2 linked regions of the Drosophila melanogaster genome follow. Changing the gene in region 2 together with the main gene of any one other region gives a genetic interaction. Each region holds a gene or a part of one and is shown on either strand. Other genes may lie near its edges. The genes, in order: Gad1 and Adar.

What was found.
Region 1: of Adar (region 2) and Gad1, changing one suppresses a phenotype caused by changing the other (phenotypic suppression), as found in Drosophila melanogaster (one study listed by BioGRID).

What each region holds. Positions count from the first base shown.
Region 1 is NT_037436.4:4,084,377-4,093,613, forward strand, and holds the start of Gad1 (glutamic acid decarboxylase 1), read right to left. Parts: upstream 4,369-9,237; 5' UTR 3,836-4,368; intron 3,329-3,835; exon of another isoform or gene 3,205-3,328; intron 1,468-3,204; exon of another isoform or gene 1,247-1,467; intron 1,154-1,246; exon of another isoform or gene 1,053-1,153; intron 423-1,052; 5' UTR 415-422; coding exon 354-414; intron 1-353. Other genes in the region: CG14989 (uncharacterized protein), read left to right, coding at 4,591-4,838, 5,663-5,766, 5,897-6,285; CG14990 (uncharacterized protein), read left to right, coding at 8,863-8,940, 9,007-9,237. UniProt on the Drosophila melanogaster protein: Catalyzes the production of GABA.
Region 2 is NC_004354.4:1,773,288-1,785,466, reverse strand, and holds Adar (adenosine deaminase acting on RNA), read right to left. Parts: upstream 7,649-12,179; 5' UTR 7,627-7,648; coding exon 7,444-7,626; intron 7,098-7,443; exon of another isoform or gene 6,949-7,097; coding exon of another isoform or gene 6,907-6,948; exon of another isoform or gene 6,856-6,906; coding exon 6,768-6,855; intron 6,653-6,767; coding exon 6,507-6,652; intron 6,378-6,506; coding exon 6,209-6,377; coding exon of another isoform or gene 6,087-6,208; exon of another isoform or gene 5,406-6,086; coding exon 5,223-5,405; intron 5,137-5,222; coding exon 4,856-5,136; intron 4,793-4,855; coding exon 4,642-4,792; coding exon of another isoform or gene 4,628-4,641; exon of another isoform or gene 4,267-4,627; intron 3,750-4,266; coding exon 3,584-3,749; intron 2,532-3,583; coding exon 2,432-2,531; intron 2,359-2,431; coding exon 1,879-2,358; intron 1,812-1,878; coding exon 1,713-1,811; 3' UTR 1,466-1,712; downstream 1-1,465. UniProt on the Drosophila melanogaster protein: Has A-to-I RNA editing activity on extended dsRNA: edits RNA-binding protein Rnp4F. A-to-I editing of pre-mRNAs acts predominantly through nervous system targets to affect adult nervous system integrity, function and behavior.

The sequences.
Region 1 (9,237 bases), on a different chromosome or scaffold from region 2:
TACCTCAGCAAAGTGTTTACTATCTGACAGTCAGGGAACTTAACTGTAGGGTCCTTGTTCTATTCCTTGCTGTGTTGTATAACCAAAGGACTTTTTTAAGCATTTTGAAATCTTATCAAAATAACATTTTTAAAACAAAACAACGATAATACCACGCTTTCTAATATTTCGTATCTAAAACTAATATAGGCTCTTTAAAATCGGGTTACAAAAGGATTTTTTGGTAGACTAAAACAAACCTGAGTTCTCTAGAGAGTAAATATACATACGCATATTTAATTCATCTTCCCGAATCTGTTTTCTTATATTGTTTATGAAACATTATATTATTTTAAATTCAAATAGATACTCACCATATGCCGTCAGTTTGCCCGTCCTCTCGGACAGTTTATACCCGTTGGGATTCAGCGACATTTTCTCCTCTGAAAAGATACAGAGTAAAAAACGTGATGAAATTATTAGGGGGGAAACGCAAAGTGCGGACTCAGCAAGATAAGGAAAAATGGAGCTCGGCCAAATGAAGTGAGTCAATGTTATGCAATCGACCGAAGGCCGTGGGTCCTCGGGGCAGGTGTTACATAAGTCCTTGCACTTCGAAAGCCCCCATTTTCCAACAACCCACACACACAAATTGCATAACCAAGACAAGCAAACAAACAAACGGTGCGAAAATGCAATGGGCGTGTAAATAAACAGAGTGGAAAATGGAAAATGGAATGCGGAGTTTGGCGAACGAGAAGGGGGGGGGGGCTGTTGGTACAAGGACAACTGAAGGGCAAGCTCCAAGTGGGAGGTAAGTATTTGGTATATGCCACATATACACGGATTTCAGGGCCCCTCCTTTTCACTTTTGGCGCCATCTGCTATTGCGCAGTGAGTGTTAAGCCAATTTCCTGCGACGGAACGAACATATATAGTATATATATATATAAGCTTATATATATACATAAGCTTGATTTACATGGGGATACAGACAGCGCGACAGCTGCAATTAATGGCGAAAACCTTGGACAGTGCGAAACTTATGCAACAAAATCGTCTGGGAGTCTTACCGATAATCCTGCGGATATCGTCGATATACTGCTTTAGGTAATTCACTTTGACTGTCTGCGGGGGGCGACGAATCACCGACGAGGCTTTCGAAAAGATATAGCTAGAGGAATGTGCGAGTACGAAATGTATCGAAATGTATCTCTGAGATGGAGCTGCGATTAACTACTTGTGGTCTAAACCAACGACAACTTACAGAGTTCTCTTCTTCCTAGCAACAACAAAAAACACTGAAAATCACTCGCGAAACGGAGGAGCAACAATTCGCTGATTGAACGGACTGGGAATTACTATTGGATTTGAAATGTATATATATTTTCACAGGTTCACAGGTTTCGGGCAACTTTCACTTTCGGTTTGGGAAACTTAGGGAACTGAGCAGCCTACACTCGCTGACGATCTGCGGAGCTATGAGCAGCAGCATCCGCCTGAGTTGCCTACGAAGCTTTTCGCATCCAAAAAATGGCTGCCCATATACCACTACAAGCGTACCTATGTATATACATACTACTCCTCAATCTCTTGCATAACCTTCAGCGACAACGACAACAACAGTGGGGCTGAGGAAAATGCGGGAAATTCTCCGGGTGACGTCATTGATTTTTCGGAAACCATCTTTGTTAAGGCCATTTTGCGTGGGCGGAGCTTCGGCCATGCGCGCCCCAAAGTATCCAACAGATACACATGAAATATGTGCGCACGCCTGGTGAATGCTAAAGAAATAATAAAACGGGATAAAGGGAAAGGAAAATATAGATTGTGATGGGGCGACCAAATGAAAAGCTAATTAACAAACTAATTTTGCCACTGTTTCTGACATTTACAATGACCCACAACTTTTTATGAGAGTTTCCTGTCGAATGAAACAAAAAAAAATAACCCTATAATTACTTTCATTTCCCGCATATATGTACATATGTGCGCTTAGATATAGAAGCCAAAGCATATAGATTCCTGGTATATAGAACAAAAACGAAATTTGGGTCAAAGCTAGGCCGCCCGCCCACTTGGGCTATGCAAAATAGATATGTATCTCAGAGTGAAATTGCATCATTTCCAATAGAACGCGTTTCGTAGCATACTTTTGAGGGCCAGAGAACATCTATGGCCATGTTATGCAACTTGGGTAAAGAGCCCAGGAGCAGCAGGACCAAAAAGGACGTCCATCAAACTGGAGAAGCTTAAACAACGAGAACCCTAGGAATACTTGCCGCAAAAGAGTTCCACCCACTCCACTTCCATTCTTATCTGACACACGGAGCAGCTGGCGTAGGATGTTACCACACACTTGGCACTTGGCACTTGGTCCTGCTGCTGCTCCAGCTCCTGCTCCCTGGGCAGGATCCAATGCGTCAGCGTATTTTCGTTGCGAGGGCTCTGGCACTTGAAAAGTGTCTTTCGATGTAACTGATTGCAACTTAAGAAGGCCATTACAGTGGCAATAACTCCCTTGCTAGTCCCTGTGATCCATCTTTTTTATTGAATGCCTGCAATATTGGCAAAATGAAGTCGACACTTGTTCAACATGACTTTCAAAACATTCTCATAGGGCGTAGTGCATTACTTTGTAGCACTAGCTAGAAGAAATCCAACGGCAGTTGCAGAAAGTCCATAAAGCCGTAATTGCACAACGAAATCGTTACTTTTGATGTGGCAACAACTGTGTGAAAGGACTTTCTTCGCAGTTTTTTAATTGTTAATTGCTCAATTGCTTTCTTGAAACAATAAAAACATTTTAGAAGACCTTAAGTGACAAATATGGCGCCTAATAGATATGAATTTGCACCCTACGCCTTAACATCTGCGTAACCCTTTAACAAAACCCATCCATCACAAGTGTCAGACAAATATTTCTGATACAAAAACAGCTCATGGTATTTAGAACCACTAAACATGGCGAAATAAAGTCGCCTGCTATCTGAAAAGCACTTCAACGGCATGTGCTACCAATAATAATTAGGCACTCGGTCTGCACTTATCGCAGATATATGGCAAACAGACCAGTCTGAAAAGGAGGGGGGGATCGGGTGTATCTGCGATAGTCTATCCTCTGATTCGCACTTGAATCTATGACACCGGCAGATAAAGCCATCAAAAACATTTATTATTAGTAAGTGGGATTTTCGTTTGGGCCGGTTTGGGCTCAGTTGAACAACTGCTACCATTTGTAGCGGACAGCTTTATATAAATCCCGTCGAGTTAAGGATTTAAGCATTTCGAGCGGAGCAGGTGCCACGAACAATCGGATTTAATTGAGTCAAACTTTTGGAAAAGCACAGTGAGTTGTAACAGGAAACGGAAACAGAAACAGAAACAGTAACAGAAACAGCAGCAGACATGGACAAACAAAAGGATTATGGGTTTAAGCCATTTTAAGAGCGATGTTTAAAATACTCTCAAAAATAATGGTTGCAATACAAGCATGTCGCCTTGCAGTCCCTTTTAAAAGTTATATGTACATTTTTAAGGAATATTTTAGTTAAAAGAATAGTCATATTACTAAAAATAACAAAGCTTTGAAGAACTATTTATTTGATTTTAATCAAACTAGAAAGCTGAAAGGGATTTGTAAAATTATCAAAAAATAAAACTATGCAGTCATTAAATATTTAATACTTCATTATAAACATTCCTTATTATTAATGATAGCAGATAAATAAATTGAGATAGATACTTTGCATCAGTAGAAATAGTTAGACAGGATCGATACCCTTTCATAAGAGCACAACTAGCGAATGGAATTGAACAATGAGATGAGCTCTCGACCAGAAAATAGGATGCTCACCTGGCTGTGATTGCACGTAGCGCAAGTAGGCCCTGTAACCCAGATAGGCGAAAATGTTTGGAGTCAAGTGCCACCCACGGATGCGGATGGAGCTGGGAGCTTGGGTCTGCTATTCTCGGGCGGCTAATTCAGACCGGGCGTTTCTGGCCAGGGCGAAGCGTCCTCTTTGGCACTCGACTCTCAACTGCCAGCCAGAGGCATCAGAAGCACAGTGGGCCAGGGAATGCTCCGCACCCCGGGGGCCATGAACATTTTTCGTTGCCCGTGGAAAACAAATGGGAGTTTGGGAATTTCGACTGTTTAGCCTGTCATTACGCTGACAAAATAAGATTCCAGCAGGTTGGTTAGCTGAGGCATTTATGTGAGGTATTTTCGACGAGAATCCCGTTGCAAAAGCGTTGTCAGGATGCCAGAATGCCAGGATGCCAGGTGGGAGTCTCAGTTGCGTTCGAAAGACAGGCGATTGCATAACCCCTTTCGGTTTGGCAAATCAAGCGAATGATATTCGGATAGCAAATGCTCGGGATAACAATGGTGTAAGGATTAGGCCCCGCAGGCAAGTACCCCAAACGCTGCTTTTTGCTGCCTATTTTTGAGAGCGCGATAATTGCATTTCGAGCACAATTGCTCCTATTGTACGGGGCCAAACAGTCTCCATTTTGGCCCAGTCCTCCCTGGAGGATAATACGCCCCAAACCAGCGTGAAAAACCCATCCCCCAGTTCCGTAATCTACCCATCTCTTTTCAGCCCAGCGATGGGAGAGCGTGTTGAAAAGCGACAGAGAAAAATGGGGGGATGTGGATTACAGCTCGTCATACCATTGGTCACAATCCTCATCCTGGCTGCGCAGGCGCAGGCTGTGACGTCATCGCCCGTCCTGAAGGACGACACTTTGGGGGATGCTGCTCCGACGGCAGCGCATTCAGCAGCCAAAATCCTTGAAGACGTCCAAACCATCAGCGCAGTTCAGGATTGGAGTTTGCTGTGTAAAGAGCTCTGCGGGTAAGTTTCGGATAAACAGCAATCGAAAACTCTAGGAATTACTGAAAGTAAGGTGCCTCGGCGCAAAGTGACTCAAGTGTTTATTGTTGGCAAGTGCAGGTTTCCCCCCAACACAAAAAAAAGTGCAAACTAATAATGATAATAATACGACACATTTACCAACTAAAATGTTGGCCTTGAGAAATCATTTGCAAATCGCGTCGGCCTTTCAAGTGGCTTCCATCGAGGTTTTCCCACAATCGCGTGTGTCAGGGAAATATAATCCGCATTCCTGATGATCGGTGGCTATATCAATGATTCGTGACTCGACTTTTGTGGCGTGTGTGCAGTAGTTTGTCAAGTGCCAAATATGTTAAGTATAAATGGCACTCGAAGTCGCCAGAAGTACTGTGCTCACTTAAAAAATTGAATAGGCTTTAAAAAATAAATTCTAAATGTCGGGTCAAAGCTAATCAAAATTATTTCACAATTTTACGATATATAATTTACAAATATTATTAATTAGAACATTTTGGCTTGCGTTTATATTTAAAATATACTCTGCATTATTTTTTAATTTGGTGTTTAATACTATTTAAAAATGTTTTGAAATAAATATATTTTTTACAAAAAAAAAAAACAGTTTATCAAGTCGAGATTTTCCTAGATCATTTGTGCTATTTAAAACTATGTTATCTGTAAACCTAGTTTCAATAACAATTATGCATATATCATGGTTCTTAACTTGGTAATGCGAGTGTCATATACTGTCATCTTAAATCTTTTTTTTTTTTAATTTACTCTGCATTGCAATTTAATCAGCATTTTATGGTTGATCCTTGCAGAGCTGGCCTGGGCGTTGCTTCAACGCCTGATGTGGCCAAAAACACAATCCTGAGACCGGAGACGGATGTGGCCAAGTGCCGGCAACTGTGTGGACTGCCTAGGGGTAAGTGGAAAATAATATATTGAAACTCTATTCAAAATATTATACTTTAATGATTATTATGGTCGAACTTAAGGTTAATTTGCTTTTTGAAAAATAAACATACTAATCAAATGCACTTATTTACTTCCAGCTAAAGCGGGCGACTTGGTCTGCTCGAGCTTTTGTGGTCAGATGGGTCGCTCCCTGCCCGGATGCAGTCCCTGCCAGCAGGAGGTGCGCAGGATGAGGGTGATGAAGGAGCGGAAGCAGGAGGAGGAGAAGCAGGAGGAGGTTCGAAAGGACGAGGAGAAGGCCAGTGGAGTGCTGGGCGATCCAACACACGGTTCCAGAGCCGCGGAGAATGCCGAACGGAGAGGATCGGTCGAGGAAGCAACAGTGTCCGCAGCTACCGTGGCAGCCGCCTCGGAAACGGACACAACCACTCCGGCACCGGACTGGGACGAAGTGTGCAAGGTGCTCTGCAAGACTGGCGATGGCGGGTCTTTGTGCAACTGTGATTTATCGCCGTTCTTCAGCTGAGCGATCCCCACCTTCCTGAGGGGATCGCTCCCGATGGAGGCGCTAAATCACAAAACCATATATATGGATCGAGAATTATCTGATTATCTGATGTTTTGTTGTTCTTCGTTTTTGAACTTCAGTTAGTGCTATTGTTGTCATGAAAAAGTATCTCCCATATATAATCTATATCGGAAAACGTGTTACGAAAGTTTAGTTAAATACTGTAAAGAGATAAAAACAAAAACTATAGAAAAATCAAAAAAAAAATCAAACAATTCAATATAAATAATACATAGAGAAGAATATACGATGAGGAGGAGGAGCAAGCAAACAAAAAAAATTCCCTATGCGAATCAATTAATTTGTAACTAATTTCAATTACAACTAACTATAGAAAAGCTATAGAGTAAGCAAGGGGGGGGACTTTACCCCCCACACTCGAGAAACAGCAGAATCACGCAGGGCTTCCAGTGCGTCGCCTCGGAGGATGAGGATGCCCTCCCAAAAGGCATCCGAAATCCCCGGGACGGACACAACCCGTATTTAGGTGATTGGTCAAGGAATTGGACTGAGGAGACACAAGAAGAGATATATGAAGATGAACAACCAATTAATATCAATGTACACAACATATCGTGCGGTAAACACTACCCAAAATCAAAAAACAAAAAAAAAAACACCCAATCACATTTATTTGGAATACACCTTGGTTCGATGGAATCAGCATATCAATTTACCACGAGGCAAAAACAAGTTGGTATCTAAAGAATTTCCTTTGTTTTGGCTTACAAGTTATTGGCGAATCTAAAGCATTGAGATATTTCAAATCAGCATCAATTAGGAGTGTCGCAATTAGGCCAAAGTGCCAACCAAGAGTTTAGTGTTGGTTACGGCCCTTAAACGCAAAAGCAACATTTATAAAATATATACTTGTACTTACTAACGAATAACACATGTAATTGGTCTATATATATATCCACAAAATGAGTTGCGATTGCAAATCAGAAACTCAGACGGGCTATACTGGATCTACCAGACCCGTATACATCATATATATATATATATGAATATATATATATACATAAAGCTGTAAACCATAGTTACCATAATATCTAGGTGTCATATTGTTCAGCATAAATAATCGCATATGATGTATTGTATGCATATTATCTGTGTGTTTGGAAGACATTTTTTCGCATTGCATTGAAATGGAAGACAACTTAAATCGCATTCTGGAAGACATGCGTTGCGGCAGCGCCAAAAAGATCGGCCAGCTGCCAAATAGTTTGTAAGATATTCTATATAATAATAATAATAATGAGATTTTCGATTCGAGCTCGAAGATATAGTCAATACAAGCACACGTTGTTGTGGCAAACGCGACGCTGTGACTGACAATAATTAACTATAACTTAGCAGGAGAAGAGCAGGCAAGGAAGTTCGCATACTCAGTGTCTATATATCAGTACTATTGCTAATATTAACCATGCACTACTACTAATCAAGGAAAATGGAAAATAATTAATAAATATTGTATTGCACCAAAGTTATAAGGCAATTTTCAGAGCACATTCATTGATAACCTAATGCGGCTTCAGTATGTATATCGATGTGTAGCAAGTTAATCACTCAGTAATTAATATACGAAATGCACTTTACATTTATGTATATGTATATGTGTTAGGCGTTGCGTTTCTGCCATGAATACAGCGACTAGCGAACCGATCACACGGATTATGCCGGAATAATATCCATAATTCAATAATATATATATACATATATATATATATTTATAACCAACAGACACATCATCATCATCAATTACGAATACCGAGTCGAAAACCGTTTCGAACCGATTATGCCGTTTCGCAGTTTCGTTTCTTTAGTTTTATCCAATGGCCAGGCATTATCTTAGTCGGTAATGTCTGGGGCTATGGTTAAAATAACACAGAAAAATAGATTTAAAGGCAATTTCACAACAGATAACCATAACAGCAACTACACAACCAAATAAAGGCAATTATTATCTTATATACGTTAAATGTTGTAAAGCCCCTCTAAACAAAAAAAAAAACAAGAAAGCCTGTGTTTTATTGGGATGGCTAAGGGGCTCAATAAATATGCAATTCAATTTTTTATTTTATTAATTTTATTACATTTTTTACAAATACCCCGAGTTTTCATTTAATTTGAATAACAAGAACTAACGTAACGTACAATTTGAATACACTGCTTTACCACGTAAGCTTGAGGAACCGTTTCACTGCTTCAACCGTGGCAAGCAGTGCATAACCGCTTGAGCTGCTTTAAACAGTATTTCAAATCAGGGCGCGCTGTCTACATTCTTATCTATATGTGTATAACAAAAAAATTGATTGCTTATTTCTTAGGTACCTACATACATATATTAATTATTTCCCATAGGAGTGCATGCGTATATTTTTCGTAGATATTATTCGCTCTCTTTTAGAAAATATATAAAGCTTAGTATGTATACTATCAACAGTGACTGATAAGCATGATTCCCGTCGAATTTTTAAAAGTGTCGCAGCTTCTGACTTTTAGTCGTTTGGAATTTGTGAGCTCAAGCAAACCATGCTCAAGAACTGGACAATAAATACGTTCCTTTTGGTTTCGTTTCTTTGTAGTGCGACTGGGCAAAATGAAGGAGGAGTATATAATATTTTTTGAAATATTTAATCAATATTTTATTCAATTCAATTAAAAAAAAAATTGTAGGCACCTGGAATATTCAACGGAATGTCATTCACGGAAAATCTTCAACCAGACCCAAATCAAGTTTGCGGCATGAGCAATCCAAATGGCTTGGTGGCCAATGTGAAGGTGCCCAAAGATTACTCCACACCTGGCCAATTTCCATGGGTGGTTGCCCTTTTCAGTCAGGGAAAATACTTTGGGGCCGGTTCTTTGATTGCCCCAGAAGTAGTCCTTACAGCGGCTAGCATTGTG
Region 2 (12,179 bases):
AATAGCTTAAAACTCAATTGCCTACTTCGTGCCGTGCTGAAAAAGTTAACAATTAATTCTTTTTCATTTTTAAAACACAATCAGCCCATCAGGTTCACTCGGTAGTGAAGGATACAAGTTGCGAAGCAATCATGTAAATTACTACTAAAAGTATCATTAAGTGGACTGTGAGAAAGTCAAAGGAAATTAAACTTCGAAGTAGCTTGTTAATTATAAACGGCATTGGACGAATTAAGCGGTTGAATTTTAGTACTTAAAGAAATTTTACGGCTTTAAATGAAAAATTATATCGCAAGAAGTCGGTACTCAAACCTTTTCGAGGTCGTGAGTGAGATTAAGACGATTCGGACAAACTGCAACTGCAACAAAATATGCTGTGCTGCTCTAATGTCATGCAGTCCTTTTCATTTTCGTTTTCTATGCAACTTCGACGTAATATTTATTTCACATAACTGAATGGTAGGAGACTATGGCTTTATTAGGTTACCACATTTGACTAGATCATTCGTCGTAGCATTTTCAAGTACACAATAAAAGAGGAGCCAAATCGCCTTGTTTTAAATTGGAATACGTCAATCGACGTTGGAAGAGTAGTTATTGATTTGACCATTAACAATTGTCATTTCAAATTGAACGAACAACCGGAAGAACTCAGGGCGGAAGTAAATTTAAGAGAAGGTATTATGATGTACAAGTAACCACAACTAATATAGTATGTATTTCTACAATATACGAAATAGCGATACAAGCTTCATGATAAGACTTAGTTAGGTAGTTCAAATGCCTTTATCAGCATGCTACAAAATTGGTAACTAATATATGTATTTTTATTCTTATCTGCTTTCGCTTGCATGTGATTTGTATCAACTAATATGCAAAGAAATCTACGTAATTTAATTGATAAAATGTTGTTACATAGATATAATGTTTTTCAACCAAGAACACAGTTTTATTCATTGAAAATCGATTAAAGCTTAGGTTTATATCTGATCTGAAGAAAAGTACGCGAAATTAACGCAGATTCACCTAAAATGTTCTTATGCTTATATTAAGCGTGACTTTATTATTATTATAATTATTATGTCGTTGCAAATAACATTACTTAACAAAATACATTGCTTAATCGATAAGAGAACGAATTCTAGATTTCTGTTTGGATTATTGTTATTCATTGAGTGTACTTGTTGGTTTTTGGTTTTATATATATCTTTTAACTGTTTCGTAACATTCCATATTACCATATTTACCATATAAAATACGGAAAACGAAAGACACAACTCACTTGAAAGTTTCGACAGTGTGGTTACGACGACATCGCAACGCATCGCATTCATTCAAATAACAAAACAAGTCACAAACTTAAATGATAAAGAAATTGCTTTAGCCAATTTAAAAATGAATTGATTCAAAAAAAAACGCCATAATACTCCTTTACTCAGTTCCAGCATAAAAACTACATTCTATTCTATAAATATTCTAGAGCTGTTCTTTATATTTCGAGCATAAGCATCTTTGTGCTTGCTATTGCAATGGGTACGCAAAGTTGGCAGGTTGTCAATCATATGAAGTGGTATATCATAGCGATGTGCTTGCACCCAATATAATTTGCATTCTATATCAGAATTTGTCATAAAATCTATGTCGTCTAATTCTATTAATTGCTTGCCGTTGCTGTTGTCTTTTTTAAAATTATATAATAGTGCTGAGTGCAGTCATTCGGCAAGACCGAACTCGTCTTGTTCAATGGGTTTCTTCAGCCAGCTGCCAAGGTCTTCTCGCTTGAATGCAGAGAACAATTCTAGCTTTGCGATCTACAAGAACAGATGTGGCAAACAATTTGATGCATATCCTCAAATGATCCAGCATATAAACACTCACCTGATAGTCCTTAACGTTAGCTTTGGTTTGCCCATAGTCAGTGGTTACTTTGCGGACTAAAATACCGGGCAAGTTTGCCATTAGAAATCCATACTTAACGAAAAACGCCTGCTTTGTGATGCGAGACACCTGGCCGCCAATGGTTCGACCGGTTAGCGAGTTCACCACTTCCAGCTCGGTGTCCCCAATGGTCCAATTGATCCCGAAGTTGGGAGCCTTGGCCTGATTCCGCGGCTCGGCCGAAGTGACTAGTGCCAGGCGCGGCTTGTTCAGATGGTACGGCGGTGGCAGGCCTTGAATGGACTTCTCAATTCGGCCGCAAACTGCGCGGTACATGTGCTCCGGATGCAACAGGCTTCCCAGCACAATCGAATGCAGGTACACCGGTTCAATTATGGAAGACAATAGTGAGCCTTGGATGCCCACGATGTTCCAACGGGCAATTTTATCCGAGCACGACATTGTTAGCAGGCGTTGGCCCTGCACAAAAGTCATAAATGTTGTAATGTTGATGGTTTACCACGATCTAATAGCAACCGCCCAATCGGGTTACCTGCAATACGCCATCCCACGTCTGGATACCATCACTGCTTTTCACTGGAATCGTCCCCTCACCGGACTCGATTTTGGTGCGCAGCTGGCCACGAGCTTTTCTGTTGATTGATGATTATTTCATGTATGATTCGTTGTCGGCATTATAAAATGTGAGTATGGAAAATATAATTATTAGCTTGTTCAAAAACTACGTTTAAAACATGCCAAGTAATACTGGAAACAAAACATGGTATGAATTACTTCATTATGTGGTAGGGAGTGGCGGGCGGCAAGGCTTATCATTAAAATTCATTTCTCACATATACTTCAAAGTAATCCCTCAGACCGGCACCTATTAAATCTGATTCAAATGGTAGGTACTTTTATGCTTAACCTATTTCGAACTGTCATTTTAAACGATTGTTGCAAACAAGAAAGGAAACTTCGGAGCTCCGAAGTTTGTAGACGGACATTGCCATATAGACTATGCAATAGTTTATTAATAGCGGAAGAGATGCCTTATTCTCTGCGTTCTATAACAACTGCAAGGGCATACAAATACGTATTTAACAAAATTGTGGAAGCGGAAGCCCATGTTTTGTATATCCTTGTCATCTTAATCACTTGACTGAATCGTTACAGACACATACATACAGACAACGGATGGCGAATAAAAAGCCGGGGGCAAATACATTTCTAAACAGACTCAACACAAAGAGTAAAAGCTTTAAAATACCTGATTTCTTGTATACATTCATGCTCATGTTCAAATTGATAGTTCTAATATTTAATATGAACAATTTCGTGCATTATGTTGCCACAAATTGAAATGAAAGTGTGCGATATAGTGCTTTCTTCTTTTGGCATATGCTTGCATTCCAGATTTTAAAAGTTATTTATAATGAACAAATGTCGCAATTTCATTGACGGTAACTTGTGGCATTCTTAAGCACGCAATTGTACATATACAAATATATATTTTTTTTATGCAAATACAAATTTTTTTTGCAATCTCAACGTGTTTCCTGCAGGGAAATGTCGTTTCTTATTGCGTACAAATATAAATCATTATAATTCTACTTGAATAATACAATTTAAATGTGTAAATAGGTAGAGAAAGTATTCTTCATATAAAAATATCGAGTATTTATAGAATGCAGTTTGTACCAACCTATTTGGATGTTTATCAACACCAGTGTCGTTTTCGTGAGGACTAAATATCCGTGCATCCCCACAAGGTGCTGTATTTATATACAAATGGAAATGTACCCCGGATTTTAGTTTATAAGGGTATTGCCCATCAGTATTCCTCACGAAAATCGACTGATATGCTGTGGCTAAATTTAGGAGAAAATTGAATAAGAGTAATCAAATATAAATTAAAGTAAAACGAAGTAGTTTTATGTTTAAATCTCATTCTTTTCACCAATACGCAAAGGTATACATGAAAAGAAGTCCAACAAAACAATGCGAAACATGTTTTAGTAAGAATGTTAAGCTGGGAAAGCAAAATGCCAATCGCAAAATACTACGCAACTTATACATATTTTATGATTTTGTTTTGAGCCAAAGGCAAATACCTTTTCCTATAATGCCCACTCTTATTTCCAAGTCAAAAGAACTATCATTAATTGTGTTTCCGATAGGTGAGTTTTGACTTAAGAATACTAAATGTGTTCACTGGGCCCAAATCATGCCACAGGCATTACATTGAATTCAAAAGAAACAATGTTACTTTAGAAGCTTTCCCTTTGCTACTTAATAATTGGTTTGCAATTTAGATAATAATTCAATGAAATAGTACAACTGAAATGTTAGTAATTAAGTAATTAAGGTAAATGCCATTCAAAATAAAGGATATTCGAGATTTTTAATGTTTGTGCTTAGATTTGATAATGTTTACAAATTGTTTATTTTTAAGATGGTTTGCCCTTAAAATTTAATTTTGTATAAACACCTTCTAAAACGATCAGACGGGGAAAACATAAGTTAGCTTAAAGTGCTTGTTTATAATGTGTAAAAGAAAGAAAAAATAAAAGTTTGTGCTCGTATACGGTTAATGAGCACAAATCGGAACTTTAGCTTCTATGTAGGCAATTCTTGCTGGTAAAGCGTACATTTTCGATATCAACATTTAACAACTAGATTATGCATTACTCTTAGATTTAAGTTCTATGGTATTATTAGTATACGTAAACTGAACTTAGCATATACATCAAACAACTATACCCTGATTGCACTGAAGGTCCAGCTGTGCATATAAATATTTGAGAAGACAACGCCTGGAGACTATTTCAGCATGGGAATCATTTAGGACAGCTCCGTTCACACTCATATGCTCACCGCTGACACACTTGGTGCCCGTCGAAACTGAAATAACCTGATCAAGGATGGGTTTGGCATTATAATTGGTTTCGCAATGCTTCGCTGGCTGCGGACTCACTTTGGCTTCACAAAAATTCATGTTTTCAGTCATTACAATGCCCGCTAATACCTTTCGACGCGAGTAAGCCTCCTGGCCCTTGATTACTTCCATGAACTTTTCTAAGACCAACCGACCAATCGTATCCGCGTGTATCTGAGGCAACTCCATCGATGACGACTTGTCGTCGATTGGCAGGGGTACGTTCTTCTGTGGCACCACCATTGGACTGTAGGAAATATTGCATAACGAAGCAAGTGCCGCCTTAGCTGCCGCATTTTTCGCCGTCTTTTTGGAAGGACCTTGAGAAAAATTGAGTTACACATTAGCATACATTGTATGTGGCTGGGTGGGTTGACGTTAACAACGAGATAATTCAACTACATACCTGTTCCATCGAACTTCTTTTCGTTGATTGTGACGGTCATTTTGAAGCGACAATTGTTCTGGGCGCCGTCAATATTAATGCATTCGAAATTAACGTCATTAAATAATTCGTAGAGGAGCATGACAGGACCCTTATCTGGAACCTTCTTCTGACCGTCAACAGTAATAGCACTTTTGCTGACATCTAGCAATATAAAACAAAATTAGCTGGGGATATTTGACTGCTCGTCACTCTGAAGCTACGCCTTAGTTTTCTAATCTTATTTCAGACGCAATAGTGGTCTCTAGCCATATCAGACAAACGCGAGGGGAACAATGAACAAGAAACACAAGAAACTTATAAAAACGTAGAGATCAACCAATGAAAGTCAATTTAAGTAAGCGTACGACACTGAAGCACAGAATTGGTTGCTCTATTAAGCATAATGTGCTGAATAAGGCGCATTAATAAAAGGAAAAAAAAAAAAAAAAAAAAAAAACAAGAGAAAAACAGGACTCAAGTACACCGAGGCCTTTTAGTAGCCGATTGTTGGGTTATTTATTAAAAATGGGTTCAGTAAGTAAAAAGCATTCTCTTTGGCCTATAAAAACTTCAGTCCAAATGAGCTGTGTGTGCTCTCATACAAATAACACAAACGATACCAAAATCAACATTGCGAACCTTACGGCACTTTAAACATACATATTTGCTTAAAATCATTGATAACAATTGATTTTGTGACATGGCCGATACTATTGGATATTCGGCCAAAACATTGCTATTAGATGAATGGAGACATCTTTGATATGGCCACAACGCATAAGGTTCCAGAATAAATTATATTAAATAATAAATTAAAATAATTAACAAAAGAGGATAAAAACACTAATACTTGCTCTGACTCATGCAAAACGTGGGTTGTTCAAGCGAGGTAGGGTTGGATAGCTTTTCAGTCAACATCGTCTGAATGATCTCAAACATTTTTGAACTGGACAAATTTTCAATACCATTTTCAAGATGTTCATCGCTGGTAAAGTCCAAGTTGCCCGCCGGCTTCAGAGGCGACAGAACTGCTCCATCCTTAAACTGTATAAAGCTGCGCAGTGCAGTTGCTGCTGCTTCGATGCGTGCAACTTTTTTACTACGGCCCTGGCCCAAGTATTTCTGTCCATCGACCTGTGAATTAGATTAGAGAACTTGAGATCGCAGGTTCCGTTCCTTTGATAATTCCTCAAAGCGACCTCCTCATGTTTCAGCTCAGTGGTCGATCGCTCAGAGGGTCCGATGGGTTTAAACATATCTTACCTCCACGGATATCGTGAATAGAGGTGCGTGTACCGGACCAGTCTGTGACTCCAATTTGTAAATCAGTCCATGTCTTAGCTCATTCAGCATGGCCACCGTGTTCTTCGGCTGGGGAATGCGCTCCTTGCACATTTTCTTTTTTGGATCTAGTGAAACGAAATGGCGTTGGGAATCAGTGTACTAATTCGCATTTGATCTAGCAATCTGGGATATGCCCGCATGGCACATTGGGCACATCCTAGTGCTTGGGGATGGACTTACCAGAGTATTTTGGCATCTCATAGCCACGTTTTTGTGGCAATTTTCGGTTATAGCCATTCATGTTGATATCGGATGGTGCACTCACCGGCTATGGATACGTATGCATTAATAGTGAAATCAAGAGTATTTAGGCATTTACTTTTAACACTGTACAGTACAACGAAAAGCATTCAAACTTCATTTTAAGGACCCGTTTTGTGTGTAGGCATGTAGTAACTCGCGTCTTCTAGAGGACTTGCTTTTTATGGCACCAAAGCAAGTATCATTGACACGGTTCTTCATTTGATATTACCATATATATCAAATATTGCCGAATTGAATTATGCACTTCTAGAAAGCAAAAACATGACTTAGAGACCAATCATGGTACATACATACACACAACGCTTTGTTTAATATTACGCACAACAACATCGATACCATATAGACAGTTATAGCAAGACGTTTGTAAAACAATAGCACACGAATACGTTTAGTTACAACGACTTTCTCACACATTTTGCTCGGTTAAAATATGTTCATATAATTTTGTGTTATATTTTTGGTAGTTTTTTGTGGGCTTACGGCTAAAAGGCATACAAATATTAAACTACATGTTGTATCTCTCCTTGAGTGCGAGTTTGTTTCGGTTCAGTTTGGTTTGAACACAGAGTTCGGTTGGACTAAATCTACTTACATTGCCAGGCAATGATGGGAACGTAAATCGGCGCTTAACAAAAAATCGTGACCTTTTTCCTGCATAACTAGAGGCGGCATAAAACTGTTGACGTTGGTAACCAAATGAGGATCGAGCTACTCGCATTGCATGGTGGCATGATTTGTAGCACGCACGCCCTGGTTTGTAGGACACTGGATACATTATTGGTCCACCTATTTCACTGCTATTTCTGTTGCAAGAAAACTGAGCAGCGAGCATCGAGCAACGATATGACATTCAAGACCGTCTACAACCCAGCGACTGATAAATTTCGAGTTTCCCGGCTAAGCACTGACATTTATCTGACAACGACAAAAGCCAACTGCAGCTAATTTTGTAGAAGGAACTGCAATTATGAAAAAAAAATTTTAAAAATGTACATACATGTGTAAAAACACATGTTTGTAAGTGTGCAGATAATTTGCGCGACTAGCTGCGATCTCGAGGAGCTCGATATTTATATACCCTTTTAAAGGGAAGGCACATGTGCCATGCCAGTCCGTTTCAGTGCAAGGCATTCGGGGACACTTCAAAGGGCTGGGCTGAAAAGGTATCTGATAGGATACTGGGGAATTCGTTTGATTTGCTCCCTAACCCGTACCAGTACTGGCCGAAAAAAAAATACATAATAAGCTGTGTTAGCCATCTTTTTTGAGTCGAGCATGGAATTAATTTTGAAAACCACTCTTAAGGGGGCACCCGTTCTAATCGAAGGACATCAACCTTGCTTTAATGGCAGGTGTCATTTGTTTTGCAATTGAACAGAAAGCACGGTGCATGTCGAAAATTGAGATGCTTTGGCGCTGATAAAACTTTCGCAGACGCCCAGAAGGCAGATTTCGTCGAATTAATGAAGTCAAAATGTCAGAAAGACATTACCAACCCTACAGCATGAACGAATTTACATTAAAATTTGGATGTCGGTGGAGCGGTTATTGCTGCAGCAGCTGCAGCACAAACTCAGAGATGCATGAGTTGCATTGGCGTATCAAAATCTGCAGTAATCAACAGCAACATTTTAAAATAAATATCTTGCGAAAATGTGTGCGTGTACATATACTAAGACTCCGGGATATACGATACACATTTGCGGAATCACTCAGTTCGAAGAAATTATATTTATGGTCAAAGTTTGGAGCAATTGGCGCTTGCAGTCTCGTAGTTTATTTATGTGCGCATAGGTGGCTAAAAGGACAGCTCACCGAGCTGCACGGCAAGTACGAAGAATACCTTTAAAATTTCTTTATAATTTCAATAAGTAGATATATTGCCTGCCCAAAGTGGGAAACAATAAATGTGAAATGCCCAAAGTGTGTTGTGAACAAAGCACGAAATAAACAAGTGAAACAATCGGAAACTCGTTAGGCTCGAGAAATATCCTCTGTCGCTGTTCTGACCATTTCGAATTCATTACAACATATTTATATAACACAGCACCTGTGTGTTGAGTGTCATTTGTCGGACAAGTGATGGCGAAAATTGTAAATGTCTAGTATAATAGGACCGGACCGGCCAGCTTCAAGTACTAATGAACATCAAGTACAACATCAAGCATAATTCCGTTCTTAAATTATGATCAGTTTTTTCATTTTAAATAAACACATCGAAAAAGAATAATAAGAAATTCCTTTGGGGAACTTAGGTGGTGTTGTGATTCATAGCAAAAGAAATGTTGAAAATAAAGAGGATCTATAGGAAAGCAAGGTATAAAGTTACCTACCATTTAATCATAAGTATCTTATGCTATTTAAAAACGAGTTGCAAAAATGGAAAACGGAACAAGAAAGTACACCAGAATATAATGTAATTGTCCTAAAACTACGAATCATGCCATATGGAGTATAATAATTGCACATAACTACGCCTAATATCATGCTATATTGTTTAATAGTAATAATACGTTTACATTTATGCATAGGAGTCTACGGCAAGATCAAACTGAACCATATCGCTTCCAGCCAATATGCAGTCTTATTACCATGAAAGACCCAGAATAACCCCGGTCCTCGTGACCAAAGCCTCTTACTTCCTGGATGAAGCCTCTTACTTTGCTTCACTGCCTTTAAATTTCTGACTATAGTAGAGTTCTTAAAAGTAAAGTCCTGAAATCGACCGATTCAATCTAAGCGTACATATGCAATTTTGCGTAAACTTAACATGCAAGCTGTGTTGGAGAATTCGTAAAAGTACATTTACATACATAAACATCGCATAAGCAAGTTATAAAGAAATCTAATTTTTAATGACGATTTTCGTCTACTTACGTGCTGGGGAGAATTGTTATTAGCGCTGTTTAACATGACTCTGGAATCGAATTTCATGTACTTTATATATCTTGGTGAAATCTGTTGTGCTATTTTAATGGTGATTTATGATTTAAAGGACTATGATGATGAACTACCAATATTCAGAAAAGTAACATCAAACCGATATGAACTGAAGCAGAAGCTCTTTGTTAACAACATAAAATTCAATGCTAATAATTAGTCTATTAATTAAATCAAAGCTACGAATCTAGTCCCACCTGAGAGTATGTAAGTCTAATAAGAATTTCTCCTCTCCTTCCGATTGGATTCTGTTTCATTTTCGTGTCCATTTAGAATGCAGTTCGTAGGGCTTAGGCATACAATGTGGTATGTATGTAAGTATTTACCTATCTATCTAGCTACCTACCTATATATATCTATCTATTTATCTATATATCTATCTATTTATCTATATATCTATCTATCTATCAGTCAAATCAGATCATTGATTGGTCTTGGTCGGGACGGCAAGATATAAAGACATCGCATACAATCTCGACTCTTGAAACTAGAAAACTGCTCATAAGCATGATTATAGGCATGCGTATATATGTATGTACATTCCACATGCATGCAACATTAAACATACGTACTTGTATGCCCAAGTTACACGATTCTATCGATTTTCGTACACCCACACTCTCGTGAATTGGCCAATCGGGCCCATAGCCGTCGTAGCCATCGACTGGCTGGCCAAAAGTGCACTACACACAGTATACAACTTATGCAGGCACCTTACTATCTGCTCTTTTATGCACTAAGCTCTGCGCCACATTAGGTAATTACACATGGTCAGATGTATCTCGTGTTCTTCCTCTACGAGCCGCGCATTCTGAATGAATCTGAGTCTGAACCTGGATCTCAATCTGTAGCTGTATATGTATCTGAGCGACTTTTGAGACTCGCTGCAAGAATGGATGCAAACTTATTGGCCTATAGCTTGTTGGCTTGTTTGTTTCGCTCAAGAAAGTGAAATGCAAAGTGAACAGGGGAAGTTCGCGAGGGGCAGATGAACGCAATTCACTGCAATGCAGCAGTGAAGCCTTTCCCTTCTTCTTTCCTTCCTCTCTTCGCCACTCGCTCCTCTCTCTCCTCCTCCTCTTTCGTTCTCTTCCGCTTTGATGTTGGTCGGAATCGGAATGTTACGTCGCATGTGCTTTTGCATGTGTGTCCCTGTGTTTGTGTTTTGTTTTTTTGTTTTTGCCATGTAGCTACGTAACACCCCTTATCCACTACCCACTATTCACTATCCACTTTGCTCCACCTATTATGCCGTTTTGCGGCACTTATCGGGGGGAATTGCTCCTATTTCGGGACACAATACCTATAAAATCTATTGACTTCCGTCGCTTGCCTTTTATTTGCATGAATGCGATACGCGATATACAACGACACATACACACACACACACACACACGGCTGCAGATGTGTGCACATGTATATTGGGTTCTGTTCTTTTCTGGCTACTGCATACCTTTTTGCTCTAATTATTGATTTTTACTTCGCTGTATCGGCAGAGTGTCATTTGTTAACGGTTCTGCTCTCTTCGTTGGGCAGCCGATTCTAGCCTCCTCGCTTCGCTGTTTCGTCGATTAGGATAGGATTTGTGTGGCTGCAACTGCAGTGGCGTGCAATTGCATATTTCACTTGGCGGCACTCGGGAGAAAAAAAAAAGCACCCACGTACACGCACGGACACACGCACACACTTGCAAGCCCTTGTGACACACACACTGACATGGCCGGACAAACAAATCAATGCTTGTTTGTTTTATCTTCGGTGCGGTGCTGCTCTTTTCTCTGGCCGCGCGTTTACTTCGATTTGGTTCCTCGATGCGGATTAAACATAAATCGCGTTACACTTGTTCAAATCTGCACATTTGCTGCATTACATTGCATTAGAAAAAATAACAATGACCCTTCGTCGCTTTTTTGTTGCTCGGAATCTAGCGATGTGAGCAGTTATCACAATATCTAATATCGATACTTACATCGTAATGTTACTGCTCGAATCAGTCCGCTTATATCGATATTTTGGATATCTGCCAACAGTAGCTGTTAACAAAATTTCCCACCGTAGAAATGAGTAGTATTAGTTGTAGTAATTGTATGATTTGTTAGGCACATTGGTCTAAAAAAAATGGTTTGCATTTAATTCACCTTCTTTCATACATTAACATTCTTTACCTTCAATTACAAAAACTATATTATCCAGAGCATGGTAACAGAATTGTTGGAAAACGTTATACTAACGAGTGCCTGTTTTAAGAGTTACTTTTCGAACAATTCACTTATAATACTAAAAATTAACTTGGTGTACTTAAACTTACACACTACTTTGCGGAAATTGTACCCCAATTTGTGAATATATTGTGAATATACTGCAACAGTTTGTTTAGGTACCTAACGA